Linked DNA regions of Sus scrofa. The protein of the gene in region 1 interacts with the protein of each later gene in a biochemical or structural test. Links are inferred from orthologs where the notes say so. Each region holds a gene or a part of one and is shown on either strand. Other genes may lie near its edges.

Region 1 (4,660 bases):
GTGTGTGGTACGCTGTGTCCGTGAGCCGCCTGATCATTGGGCACGGGTGCAAACCCTCTGTCTATAGATTTGCAAAACAGGGGGGAAGAAGGCCCGGTCCCCACGTACCTGCGTGAAACTAGAGCGTGTCTGTAGGCGTGTACACGAGCATGTTTATGTGTGTAAACGCACCAAGTGTGTGTTTGTAAACCACCTCCAGGGCCACGCCCAGTCCCCGGGCAGGTGTATAAACCCATGGGTGTGTGTCTGTGGGCGTGCAGGTGTGCAAACAGTGCATCGTGCACACTGGCAGAGAGCATCCCGAAAGCCTGGGGAGACAGAACGCCGCTCCGAAACAGCACACACCCCAGTCCCCGCCCTCGGGTGCCTGCTGAGCCCACGCGCAGGCTCACGTCCATGCGTGATTCTTGTCCGTATCAACAGCCCTGCGTTGCGTGGGCTGCCTGGCGGTCCCACACATGCACGGGCTTCATGTAGTCACCTGTTGCCCCGTTCAGTAAATGGTCGCAGAGTCCCAGCTTCTCACTGGAGAAGCCCAGCCCTGCCCGTCCCCTAGTGCCCGCAGTCCGGGGAGGAGGCAGACAGGGAACTGGGCAACCTCCCTGTGGGGGTGGGCACCCGGGGGGAAGCCTAGAGGGAGGAGGGGTTCCAGCCCCGGCTGTGGGATCTGGGAACGCATCCTGGTGAGAGGAAGCTTTAGGTCAGCGTGAGATCACCAGGAGTTAGCCCGGTGGGGGCGGGGGCGGGGGCTCTGCTCGGAGGGAACAGCCGGTGCGCAAGCCCAGAGGCAGCGTGCGTTCAGAGACGTGCAAGCCATTCAGCCTGGCTGGAGAACAGAGTGTGGGTGTATTTCGGGGCTTGGGCAAGAGGCAGACGGGAGGGGCTGTAGGAGAGGCGGGAGCCAGGGCAAGGGGAGCCATGAGGGTTGCTCGAGGTGTTTTGGACATTTTTATGCCTGCACGCAGGTCCGTGGGCTTGTGCAGGCAGGCGTGCCTCTAAACAGACCTGCCTCCCCCGCTCTCCGGTGGGATGCCTGGGGGCTAAAATGCCTTATCTCACCCGTGCGCCCACATGTGTACCTGAAAGCGGGCACCTGCCGACCAGCTTCGAGCTGGAAGAAGTAAAGCTTTGGTGCACCACCTGAGGGGGAGCCATGCACCAGCGCCCGGGGAACTGCCGTGGCTGAAGGCTCCCCTTTTTACTCGGAGATGGCTCCCTAGGAGATGTGGGCTTCCTTCCCAGGACATGTGACCTGGTGGGAGAGGGAGGAGAGGAGCGAGGCTGGTCTGAGTCCCTGAGGAGGAGGGAGGGGCTCTCTAGGGAGCAGAGGAGGGCAGCTGGGGGACAGGGAGGAGGGATGAGTTTCCGGGGCACTACGTGGGTGGCTGGAGGGGCAGGGCAGGGGCCATGAGAGTCTGGCCGGGGTGGATGCGGCGGATTGGGAAGGAGGGGGTCGCTGGGCGGCAGAGAGGCTGAGGCCTTGGGGGGACAGGAGACTCAGGCTTGAGCGGGCCCTTTGTGGCTACCCGAGTTCCCGGGGTGGGGGGGGGTGCTTTACAACTGCCATCACCACCACACCCCCGATGGACATGCGGGGTGAAGTGGGGGAGGAAAGAGGCCGCCTTCTGCAGTTGGGAAGCATCAGCCCGAGCGCTCAGCTCTCGGGCCCGTGGGCCCCTCGGTCGGGCTCTGTCCTGGCTGCGACAGCGCTGATGAGGACATGGATTCAGGGGAGACGTGCGCCCAGCCCAGCTGTCAGGCGCTCACATCCAGCTCGCAGCCACGGCAGGGAGGCCGCACGGACCCTGGCAAAGGGCTGAAGGATGGGAGGCCGGGAGCGATGCGGGGTAGTCAGGGCACCGTCTGGGGTGTTTACGGGAGCGCCTGAGGGTCTGACCTCTCAGGCCGAGGCGGCTGGGGCTGCTTCCCTTCCGGCGGGCCGGGCGGGGAGGGCTCTGTGGTGCCAGAGATGGACTGGGGCGGGGGGAGCGGCAGGGGCCCGTTTGCCGCTCAGCAGCTCTCGCGCCCGCCCCAGCCCTGCCCTTCCAGGTGGTGGTGGTCTCCGCGGTCCTGGCGCTGGTGGTCCTCACCGTCATCTCCCTCATTATCCTCGTCATGCTCTGGCAGAAGGTAAGCGCCCTGCCTCCTGGGGGCGGCCTGCCACGCCGCCGTCTTCACGCGGACGCCCTCTGCCACCCTCGAGGGCGGTAGGTCTGGCCGTGAGTGCGGAGCTCAGGTGGAAGGATACAAAGTGAGGCCGGGGTCCGAGCTGCCTCCGGCCCCAGCACCCCGGGCCCCGCGAGCCGGGTCCCGGCCGTCCCGGGGCCTCCTGTCTCTGCCGTCATCCCAGCCCCCACCCCGGGCCCCGCCAGGCGTCGCCCCCACCCATCCCAGCCGCAGGGCCTGGGACCTTCCCGGTGGGCCGCCTGGCCTCTCCAGCTCGCAGCCCTAAAACCACCCAGGATTCCACGGACGGGAATTCTAATCCCGTTCGTCAGCAGTGCTGAGAGTCAGCTCTGAGAGTTTATCCTTCCATGACCCCAGTGTCCTGCAGTTCCTGGGTTCGGGCTGCAGCTCGGCCACAGTTCTGTGCGTCTAAGACTGCAGCCCTGTGATTCCAGCATCCCGTGGTTTCAACATTCCGAGGTTCCGTCTTTCCGAGACTCCCGCTTGGGGCCGGGCCGGCCGCCCCCGGCAGAGCGTCCCCTCCCTCGAGTCACCTTCCAGGGCTGCCTGCTCCTCTGCTCTCGTCTGAGGAGCGGTGGCGGTTCTGGGAGAAGCCAGTGAGGAGGCTCTGATGCGCCTGCCCTCCGCTGTCGGCTGCTCCTCAGCCGCCTCCCCCGGGCGCCCTCCCCCTGGAGCCCAGGGAAGCCCGGATGACTTGCTGTGTGACCCCGGCTACGCCCCAACCCTTCTGGGCTTCAGGGTCTCTCGCCCCATCTGTTTCCTAAGGCGCTGGGCCTCGTGGGCCTCAAGGCCCGGCCCCCCTCCGATGACCCACGCCTGGTCTCGTCCTGCAGAAGCCGCGCTACGAGATCCGGTGGAAAGTGATCGAATCCGTGAGCTCTGACGGCCACGAGTACATTTACGTGGACCCCATGCAGCTGCCGTACGACTCCACCTGGGAGCTGCCACGGGACCAGCTCGTGCTTGGTCAGTCCAGGACCTCGAGCGGCCGTCTGGGCACTTGGGGCGGGGGGCGGGCACTATCTGAGGTCCAGGCCCAGCCTGGGCACGACTGGCTTGGAGACCTCAGGCTGGTGGCTCTGGCATCTCTGGCCTCAGGGCCCCTCTGGCGGGGTCAAGAAGATCCCCAAGGGCCACCAGCCCCGAGGTCCTACGGCCTGTGAGGAGTGAGATGGGACCCCTTGGTGGGGGGGGGAGTATTGGTTGAGGGCGGGCTGAGTGCCAGGCTGGTGCGTCGTCCAGCCAGAGAGGCTGAGGGGGTTCAGAAGAGCCGTGTTCCCTTTGGGAGGGAGCACGGCTTCCAGAGGCTAAAGATGGGCAGGAAAGCAGGCAGGACCAAGGTGAGACCAGGCAGGACAGAGATGAGACCAGGCAGGGGCGAGGTGAGACCAGGCAGGGGCAAGGTGAGACCAGGCAGGGCCGAGGTGAGACCAGGCAGGGGCGAGGTGAGACCAGGCAGGGCCGAGGTGAGACCAGGCAGGGGCGAGGTGAGACCAGGCAGGGCCGAGGTGAGACCAGGCAGGACGGAGATGAGACCAGGCAGGACGGAGATGAGACCAGGCAGGACGGAGGTGAGACCAGGCGGGGCTGTGGCGCACTGTGATTTTAGCAGGGGCATGGGAGAAGCAGCTTGGGCACAGGGTGGGTGGCTGACCTCTGGGGGCGTGGGCATGCACCTCCTTGTGGGTCCGGCGCTGAGAAATGGTCTTTTCCCAGGACGCACCCTGGGCTCTGGGGCCTTTGGTCAGGTGGTGGAGGCCACAGCTCACGGCCTGAGCCATTCTCAGGCTACCATGAAAGTGGCCGTCAAGATGCTGAAATGTGAGTCCTGGGAGCCCTGCCCCCCTGCCCCCAGCAGGCCTCATTCTGATTCTCCGGGCGGGAGAAGGGCAGTCCCGCCTCAGCTGGCAGCACTGGGGATTCTGCTTTGGGAAATTTCTCCTCCTCTGGGGGCCTCCTCCCCTCCCCCCATCCCCCCCCCCTCTTCTGGGCGGGGATCTTGCCTCCGTGGCTGCCTGGGTCTGTATGTGGGTCAGCGCAGACCAGGGCAGAAGGGCCAGAGGCCTTGGTGGGGCCTCCACGGGCCTCGGCGACGGCCCCGGCCTGAGGCCCCCCCTCTGTCCCGCAGCCACAGCGCGCAGCAGTGAGAAGCAAGCCCTCATGTCGGAGCTGAAGATCATGAGTCATCTCGGGCCTCATCTGAACGTGGTCAACCTGCTGGGGGCCTGCACTAAAGGAGGTACCCGCCCCAGGGGATTCTGGGAGAGTGCCAGGGGCCAAAGGCCCCCCCCCCCGTCCCTGGACCCCAGGACACTCCAGCCAGAGGGCGTGCCCATCCTGTCCAGTGCCGTCGCCGCACGGAGCCTGACGGTCACAGAGTCGCGTCACCTTCCCGGCCAGAGCGCTCCTCCGGTCCCCGGCCCGAATGGTTTCTAAATCACGGAGGCCTCTGACGTGGAAACATTTCGTAATG
Region 2 (4,660 bases), about 140 Mb from region 1:
CCACGAAGACCACTGCGATACAGGTAAATCTTCTGGCACAGTGTGATACCGAAAAGATTATACTATTATATATTATCATACTGCTATATTACTGAACTATGGGTATATCATTATTGTTTTAATGACTGGACTTCCTTTGGAACAGAAACCTTTTTATTTGCTGCCTATCATCTTATTTTTAAGGGACGGTTGGCTGAGAAGAAAAGACAAGGCATAGTAGCTGTGTCCTGCCTCATTATAATATCAGCATCCAAAGGAACAAGGGACATGAATCACGCAGATTCCTTTTGTCTCCATGTACCAATTAGCTCCCCATCTCTAACACACTAGAATGGTCATTATAAGCACAGGCTAGAGTCCAGGGAGCCCAGCTGCCTAATCCCACTTCTGACACTTACAAGGTGTGACACCTGCCCACAGAACCTCTCAGCCTTGGCTTCTTCATCCACATAATAAGGCTAATGCCAGACATGTCACAGAGTTGAGGATATTAAATGAGACAGTGCAAGGAAAGCACGTCACGTGACGCTGGGCATGTGGGAGGGTCAACCAATGATTATCGCTATTAGATCACACATCCTGAAGGCAGCAAGAGTCCCTGTGGACCCACACGCTTAGCGGTGAGGGCAGGAATAGAGTCTGTCTCGTATCAGGGCCTGGCACAGAGCAGGCAAGCATGAAAGGTTAACAAAGCAGGAGTGGACTCACGGGTGTACACCTGGAGAAAGCCCGGCGTGCCCGTGGAACCACCGTCGAGGAGAGGACACACCGTGATGTTGTACAAGGAACTCGATCTGAGTGGAGTGAGGACGGCCTGAGTCTCATTGACAGTGAGATTGAAGGAATCTGTCTCGCCAGCAACCTGTATCTCATAGGTATAGACGGAGGACGGCTCATGATCATTGATCTTCCAGGTCAGGGTCAAGCTGGTGGCGCTGATGTTCACAACTTTAATATCAAAAACCTGACTGGAATCTGCGAAGACACAAGAGGCGTTAACAACCACCAGAAGGGCCAAGCCAAAGAGAGAGACAGAGAGAAAGAGAGAGGAGCTGTCAGCAGGGCACATCATCCAATCTAAGCAGCACTCAGTGATTCTTCCTTCCAACTCTACACGTTTAAGTACAACTACAACGTACCCAACTGTATGGGGGTCCCAGCAGAATTCAGGCAGCATCTTCAGTGAAGAAACCACCTGACCACTTGCACCTGGGGAGTTAGTCTGTGTTCTTCTTTGTGAGCTGACTCTTAGAGATCGCAATGGACACCTCAAACAACATGCCCCCCACGAGGTTCAGGGTGACCCCAAAAGGTCTCAAGCATATAAACATACTCTACATGATCACTTAAAGATCACAGGCTTTAGCAGGGGGCAGCTCTGGATTCCAAGGTCAGCTCAGCTTTAATAGGCAGGTGGATCTTAGGAAAACCTGAGCTTCCTCATCTATGAAAGCAGGATAACAATTCTGACTCAAAGAGTACAAGTTATTCATCATTTGCACACACCACCCTCCCAAGTTACCCTCCACCTTCTTCTGCCTGTTCTGTGTCCAGGAGGCTGACCCCTGCACATTGCATCCCTGGGGCCCAGGTTGGGGGGTGAGTGGCATTCCTGCCAGGTGGCCTGGGACCAGGTTCCACCAACGGGTGACACAGGCAGGCTCCTGGAGGGCTGGAGGAGGAAAACAACTAGAGTCTTTCTCTGTACTGCCTCCTGCTCTGGGTCACCTGTTCCGGTCCAGCTGCGTCCTCCACGGCCCCAGCCCCTCACTGGGCTCTAGAAACACTGTCTCCTCCCCCTTGCTCTCCAGCCTGGGACATGATTTTCTACCACAACTAGTCTTGGGTGTCTCAACATCCTCCAGTGGTTCTCTTAACTCCACCTGGATAGTTACTTGAAAAAAAGTCTGGGTGTGTGTCTGTACATGAATATAGACACACATACATATACATACACCCACAGTAGAGAGGAGGTTAAGACCATAACATAACTATTACGAGTGTACATAATACAGATATCATTTATTAGGCACTACGACAATCAACACAAATCAGACTCTGTGTGTATCCATTTGTCCAAAAGCTTAACATATAATCAATTATTTAATTCCACTCGAATCACTTTAAAAAGGAGGGCCCCAGCCCACACTAATCTGCAGGGCCTCTTTTAGCAAATCAGGCAGAGAGACCCTCCTCTGGATGGCTCTGCCCTGGGGTGCATGGCTTGGTGAGGGGCCCACAGCCTAGATCCCAGCCCCCCTCACCCCTGCACTAGCATCCTGTGAGTAGGACAGCCCCATCATTGTCAACGGCACCCCTGGAGGAGCCCCTTTCCCCTCACCACCTTAGAATCTGGAGGGAGGGTCACCAGTCCAGCGTAGTCCAGACTTTCCTGGATGCTAGCCTGGTTTCTGTCCTTGACCTCCAGCCTCACACTCACTCCCTCCATTCTATGGGTCTCTGACAGCCTTTTGGAACAGATATATTTGGGGATAACATAACCAGAGTCGGTCTGTGCTGCCTGCCACCGAGCCCCTGAGGACTACAGGGCTGCAGCATTTGTTTCTGAGCCCACAGAGGCTGACCATGGACTTCTCATGTACATTTGCCTCAATTCCCCATCCATACGGGCATCCCTCGAGGGGAGGAGCCATGCGTTTCTTAACCCTCTCATCAGCACCGATCCCAAAAGCCTCTAAATATTGTTCCACATACAGAGTGGGAGTGCTGACAAATTAGAGATAGAAATATACCTGGCACTTGTGGGTGCCAGCAAATGTCACAGGAAGGTCAGCAGGCCTTCCAAGATCAGGTCAAAAGAAGAAACACATTTTCGTCTTTCAAGGGGAAAACTCCTAACCAACATGGACAAAGTGAAGATCAAGTTCAAGAGAAAAACATCACAGTAGTTGGACTCATTGGCTAGTCTGCAGAGTCAAAGGAAAGAGAGACTGAGGCAGCAGCTAGCGTCTGCACATGGCAGCTGCTCAACACGCTGCACTGAGTTCCATGAAAGAAGGGTCTCGGACACAAAGTGAAGAAGAAACAGAGTTTCCCGGCAGCCTAGCGGTGAAGGATCTGGTATTGTCACTGCTGTGGCTCAGGTCACTGCTGTGGAGCAGGTATGATCCCTGGCCCAGGAACTTTGTTTTTTTTTTCTTTTTTGTTTTTCCTCTTTAGGGCTGCACCTGCAGCCTAAGGAAGTTCCCTGTGTAGGGGCTGAATCGGAGCTGCAGCTGCCAACCTACACCACGACCACCACAACACCAGATCCAAGCGGCATTTGCAAACTATGCTCGTGGCAGCACTGGATCCTTACTTAACTCACTGAGCAAAGCCAGGGATCGAACCCACATCCTCATGGATATTAGTCGGGTTCTTAACCCACTGAGCCACAACAGGAACTCCATGGCCCAGGAACTTCTATATGCCATGGGTGCAGCCAAAAAAAAAAGAAAAGGAAAAGAAACTTACTGGATCTGCTCTGTCCAAAAATCTCTTCCAGAAAACTCCCTCTGACAACAAACTACTTAAACTCCCTCCAACAGCAAAACTACTTAAGAAGCAAGAGGTAATTCAGAACCAGAATCCCAGAAGACAAATTTTGTGCTAGAAAGCTCTGGCTGTGGCTATGTTACAAAATTCAACATACTTGTTTTGAACTCTGTGGCCTGGGGGTGTCCTTCGGGGCCATCTGCTGCCCGGGGATAAACAGTGGCCTTGTACCCTGCATCAGACTTTAACCCCCAAACCAGGACTTCCGTGGTGTCCGGGGTCAGAGAAGGGTCGGAGGGCAGGTCTGCAGATTCCAGTCGGTATTTGTACCCAGGGACGCCAGGGCTCCTGAGTGGCTGGGACAAGCTGTCTGTGTTGTTGGCATCTGTTTCAAACCAAAAAAAGCAAAGCAGACGTGACGTGCAACAGAAGAACAAACCTGTCTTCTTTCAGCGCCGCTGCCCTTCCCCCACCCCTTCCCCTCCCCCCATGAGAAGCCAACCCACCCACAGCTGCTACCACACAAATATCTGTTCCTTTCCTCCCCCAGAAGGATACACGCTCCTGAGAGGGCCCTGAGTGAGGCCGGTATGTGACTTTGCACTTTTATCCCAGGTAGCACCATAGACATTGGGGCCTCTCTCACCAACTCAGCTATCTGCATCTCTCCCCTTCTTTCGAGAAGTCACCTTTTCCCACCCAGCTCCAAAGATGGATTTCTCGGGACGGCCACGTGATCTGCACGTGGCTACTCAGAGCCCACTCACTCCAGAAACTCTGTCCTGGACCAGACCCCTGCAGAGAGAGGGCGAACCAGGCAGAACTGCTGAAGCAGGCGAAAGCTGCTAAAGAGAAAGAAGCAACAAGGACAGACAAGAGTCATCTCGCCTCTTCCTTCAAGGCCTTGCCTGGCTGTCCCAGCAGGGAAATATACACGAGACGAGAAGCTGCTCTTTTAGTCCAAGATACCCGAAGCCTGGTTCCTGATGCCTGCCCTCAAGAATCCTAACACCTCTCTCCAGAGTTCTGTTTCCTTGTGTGGAAAATGAGGACTGAGTTCTTGTTCTCAATGCACAGGGTCACCCCTGAAAATTCTATGAAGTCTGCAAATGACTCCTCCACTGTCGATGCAGAAAACATCCGCTAGATTTGCCTGAGCCGCATC
Region 3 (4,660 bases), on another chromosome or scaffold:
AGGAGGTGCTGGTGAAAGGGGGTAGGCCCTGAGGCACCGGGGTCCCCATGAGCTGAGGAGGGCGCAGGAGCTGAGGGGTGGGGCTGCCCCCCCCTCCCCCGCACAGGGAATGGGGGAGGGGCCGCTCAGGACCCGGTCTCCGTGTGCACCAGCTGAGATTTGGGGAGCTGCCGGGCTGCTGCCTCCCTGCCAGGAAAATGACCCCCAACCCCTGCAATGAAAGTTCAGGGTGAACAGAGAGCCAGGATACAAGGAAGGCCTATTTATTCTGAGGGCGCGCATGCGCTATGGCTTTTAGGGCAGACAGCGATGCCGGGTCGGTCTGGTTCTGGGCAGGAAGGAAGGCGGAGTCGGTGGGGCATCTTCAGGGGCGGCTCAGGGCAGGCGAGCCAAGAGCTTGGGGACCTTCCTGGGGGCTGCCGTGCAGGGACAAGGGGCCTGTCTACAGGCTGCCCTCCTCGGGCAGGGCCGAAGTTCTCCATCTCGGGCCCCACCAAGAACCCAGGCCCTGCCCCCGACCCAACCCCCACGCCAGGGAGGGCAGGGCCTGAGCAGCGAGGCAGCTCTTAGCTCTTATAGCCACGTGGGGCTCCTAGCCTCCCCGAAGCCTGCGTGAACACGGCCTGGGGGCCCCAGAACTCTGCCCCTGGAAGGCCCTGGGACTCCCTCGGGGAAGGCTGCTGCTGAGGGAGGTGGGAGGAAATGGTTTGCAGAGAAAGGTTTGTTTTATTGCAATTATTTAGAGAGCACGTCCTGAGGGGATGGGGGTGGGGGCTCTGGTATTAAGTGGAAACATGTGTGGAGCCAGAGCTCGTGTTGGAAAAAAAGCCAAAACACAAATTCCTTTAAGTCAGCAGGCCCAGGCAGAGCAGCAAGGGCCCGGCCTGGCGGGTCACCCCAGCCTCCCCTCCCCAGCCCACCTCTCTGGGTGTCTCTGTCCCTCCCGTCTCAGGGGCTTCCTCTGCCCGCTCCCCAGCACCCCGTGGGAAGGGGGCAGGACGGGGGCTCACTGGGGCACGGGCTGGTTCATGGGGGGTGGTGGGACCACCACGGCTTAGCGAGCGAAGGTGCCCCCGCTGCAGTCCACTGAGGCTCGGGGCGCTCTGGGCAAGGCCCAAGGTCCATGCCCAGAGGAGGCCCGGCTGGGGACCAGGCGGCGGCTGCGGCGGAGGGTGGGGGGTCTCAGAAGTTGCTGAAGATCTCACGCTTCCGGTTCCAGTCCATCTGTGGCGCCCGCTTGTTGACCCTGGTGGCCCTCGCCTTCTCCTTGGCCTCAGCCGCCGTGGGGCTCAGGTGGAGGCCACTCTCCTGGAAAGGGTCACGCTTCCAGGTGCTGCTGTCCTAGGGGTGGACACGGTGGCCAGGTGGCCAGAGTGAGCCCTGGACCCAAGCCCCCAGCCGGGTGACCCTTCCCACTGAACGCACACCAGAGGCCACCGGGCAGCAGGCTCAGGAGGGCTTCCCAGCGGTGGTGGCCTCACCGCCCAGGCGGACAGCTCCGGGGACACCCGCCCCCAAGGCTCCAGGCCCCCCAGGGAGGGACCACAGCAGTGGAGGTGGAGGGGCACCAGCTACCTCAGTGTCCTTGTCTAAGCCGGGCAGGTCACTTCGGGACGAGCACACGGAGCCACCATTGAGCTGGGAAACCAAGGTAAGGTGTGGCTTTAGGGCCCGGGGCCGGGAGGGCCCCCACACACAGCAGCAGAGCTGCATTTATTCCTCCACTTGGCAGCGGCCACGGAGCATCTACTCGGCACAGTAGGTGCCCCCTGTCCCCACCCCCACCCTGGGCGAGGGTGTGGCTGAGCTGGAAGGGACCCATAGGAGTATTAGAGCTGGAGTGACTGGGCCGGACAGGGTCTCCCAACCGCGCCTACACAAGGACAGATCCGGGAGGGGCTCTGTCAAGCCTGGGGACTCCCAGAGGTGCCCCGTATGGTCTCCTGGGCCAGCCCTGTCCCCTCCCACCCTCTCACCTGGGCTGAGCTGGTCCCATTGGTGACAGGTGATGGCAGTGGACCTGTGGGGACAGTGTGTCAATGGCTCTGCCCCCGAGGCTTCTCCCCAGCCCTGGCCCCCAGGGCGGCCACCCACCTTCCATGTGCTCCTGGGTGGGTGTGACCCGCAGCCGCTTGAAGTACGCATCCGTCTCGGGGTCCACCACCAGCAGCCGGGCCTCGTCCTCCCGCGCCTTGATGCAGGCAACCACCTCCGCGTGCCGCAGCCCCTCCACATTCTGCCCGTTCACCTGCCACCGCCAGCACGGTGTCAGTGCTGCCTGAGGGCAGGGCAGGGCCCCACCAGCCCCCCGGGCTACCTGGCCAGGTGTGGCATCAAATATTCATCAACGCTGTCACCAGCCAGGGTAGCCAGAGAAGCAGCAGCTCAGGTTCCCAGCATCTCCCCTCCTCCCGGGAGGACCTGGGGCTCGGAACACGTTTGCGCAGACAGGGAAGGACCCGGCGGGGACACACATGGGGGGGCCGTGGGCCCAGACACAAACAGAAGGGGCCAGGCACAGAGGCGCACACAGGGCAGCCAGCACCCCGAAGCCTCCATGGCGGTACCTCTATGAGTCGGTCCTGGGCTCGGAGGCCGGAGTGGGCAGCAGGTGAGCCTGGGTCCACGGAGCGGATGTACTGTCCAGGCCGGGACTTGTCGCTGTGCAGGTTAAACCCGTAACCCTGGGGGCCTTTTCGCAGGTGGCAGAGCCTTGGGCGCAGCTCCCTCAGGGGCCCGTTGACATCCTGCAGGCACAGGGGATGTGGGATGAGGCTCCAGGCCTTACCTCCCACCCCTGGAGGAGCTGACACCAATTGTGAACGCAGCAGTGGAGGCGGCTGGAGAGAAGCCACCCCACATTCAGCATCGTGCCCCTACCTGACTGGCAGCCCTGGTCTCAGGGGCCTACAGCACCACACCCATGCCTGGGGCGGCAGGGGGACCTCTTAGGCTGCCTGTGACGATGCAGCTTCGGGGTCCTGGACGAAGCCTTAGCTTCCAAACCCCAAAGGACCCACAAGGGGGTCAGGGACCTTCCAGGGGTGTTGGGAGAATCGGCTGGCTCAAGGACAGGGCTGAGGACAGACCCGGGTCCTCGGAGAGACCAGGTGAGACGAGCCACCGCTCATCAGTGTTCCGGGAGGGCTGTCCCCATGGGCCCTGCCTGCTGTCACACTCCCCCCCCCCCTCCCGCCGCAACCCCATCCGGAAGTGTGGGGCTGGCTCCAGCAGGCAGGCAGTTTTGTTTACTCTCCCAAAGGTCTCCACAGGGCTGGTAGCAGGCGGGCTGTGTTTGCTTTCACATTCCAGCGCCAGCAGGAGCCACCCCCGCCTAGCCTCGACGACAGACAGGCACAGGCACCGGGGATGAGAGGGGAGCGAGGGCGGGGCCTGCCTCCCACCTTCCTGCTCCCCTGGGAAGGCCCTCGACCCCCCAGGGCCCTGCCTCGCTTTACCTCTGGCATCGTGCAGGAGGGTTCCGGGCCGGGGGTGCGGGGTGGGGGCGCGCAGGCAGGGGCCCAGGCCCAGGAGGCCCACCCGGCCACGGCCCAAGGCAGCGACCCCTGCACGGAGCAGGTGTCAGCCCAATATGGCGGCGGCCGGGCGGCCGGGAGCTCAGGTTTCCGAGCAGGGAGCCGGCAGGTGAACAGCACCGGGCGGAGTGGGGTGGGCTGGGGGTGCTCACCAGGGCCCTTTCCCCACGCCTCCCTGTGTGGGGGGACCCTGGGCCGGCTGGCGGTGGCGCTGAGGGAGGACCCCCTCCAGGCCTCGGAGCCCAAAGCCCCCATCTGACAGCATCTTTCTCACAAGGGACTGCCTCGCCCTGGTCCCCGGGCCTTCCCACCTGTGGGGGACACCCTCTGCCAGTCCAGCCTGTGACCCTCCTCCGGGACCCCTTCCCTGACCCCAAAGCCTGTCCCCTCAGAAACCCCACTGCGGGCCACCATGTGCCCTTCAACCCCAGCAACTCCAGGAACCAGGCATGGTGCCTCGGTCCCCCAAGGCTTCAGCCAGGGGACATGGGCTGAACTGTGAGAGCCTGGCTTCTCTGGCACCTCAGCGACCCACTCATGCCCAGACACGCCTGGAAGCACAGGGGTGCGGCTCTGCGGCCCCTCTTGGGTCCGGGCTGTCAGAGCACAGGTCCCAGGGCTGCTGGTCTGACGGAGCAGAGCCAGGCCGTGAGAGACGGTGGATGTGTGGCAACGCCACGCCTGGCGTGTGGACAAGGGCCTGGGGGCCAAGGCACATCGCAGGGTCCCAGGGACCATTCTGCAAACACACGCTCACAAACAGGCTGCACACAGACCCGCAGTGACCAGCCGTGTGAAAGGCCAGCCCTCAGCACCAGCCCTGTGGCCTCTTCCCACGCCCTCCACAGTGGTTCCAGGGCGTGGCCTCTCAAGGCCCCCAAACGGGAAGCAGGATGGGGGGGCATCCGGGGCCACGAGGCCAGGCCACATGAAGTCACATCCAGTTTGAAACCGTCTCCCTGCCTCAACCCGGCATTCCGCCTCTCCCCACACAGCCCGGTGGGGGGTTCTTCCAACATCGGCCCAGACCTCTCTCATTAGGGTCAGGGTCCAAGGAGTGCTCGGACTAGACCCTCAGGCTGAGGGGCTGCAATGCCGTCGGGGTGGGGGCCGACCCTGGCAGG

What was found.
Region 2: of the proteins of PDGFRB (region 1) and PTPRJ, one has a biochemical effect on the other in vitro, tested with the Homo sapiens proteins (2 studies listed by IntAct). The link is inferred for Sus scrofa from reciprocal best matches to the Homo sapiens genes PDGFRB and PTPRJ.
Region 3: the proteins of PDGFRB (region 1) and SLC9A3R2 form a complex in vitro, tested with the Homo sapiens proteins (2 studies listed by BioGRID and IntAct, with this or other methods). The link is inferred for Sus scrofa from reciprocal best matches to the Homo sapiens genes PDGFRB and NHERF2.

Annotation. Positions count from the first base shown.
Region 1 is NC_010444.4:151,164,890-151,169,549, reverse strand, and holds part of PDGFRB (platelet-derived growth factor receptor beta), read left to right. Parts: intron 1-2,035; coding exon 2,036-2,130; intron 2,131-3,020; coding exon 3,021-3,153; intron 3,154-3,903; coding exon 3,904-4,008; intron 4,009-4,315; coding exon 4,316-4,426; intron 4,427-4,660. UniProt on the Homo sapiens protein: Tyrosine-protein kinase that acts as a cell-surface receptor for homodimeric PDGFB and PDGFD and for heterodimers formed by PDGFA and PDGFB, and plays an essential role in the regulation of embryonic development, cell proliferation, survival, differentiation, chemotaxis and migration.
Region 2 is NC_010444.4:14,591,623-14,596,282, forward strand, and holds part of PTPRJ (receptor-type tyrosine-protein phosphatase eta), read right to left. Parts: intron 3,881-4,660; coding exon 3,653-3,880; intron 976-3,652; coding exon 709-975; intron 1-708. UniProt on the Homo sapiens protein: Tyrosine phosphatase which dephosphorylates or contributes to the dephosphorylation of CTNND1, FLT3, PDGFRB, MET, KDR, LYN, SRC, MAPK1, MAPK3, EGFR, TJP1, OCLN, PIK3R1 and PIK3R2. Plays a role in cell adhesion, migration, proliferation and differentiation.
Region 3 is NC_010445.4:39,942,124-39,946,783, forward strand, and holds the end of SLC9A3R2 (Na(+)/H(+) exchange regulatory cofactor NHE-RF2), read right to left. Parts: intron 2,748-4,660; coding exon 2,568-2,747; intron 2,249-2,567; coding exon 2,095-2,248; intron 2,021-2,094; coding exon 1,977-2,020; intron 1,639-1,976; coding exon 1,576-1,638; intron 1,342-1,575; coding exon 1,183-1,341; 3' UTR 248-1,182; downstream 1-247.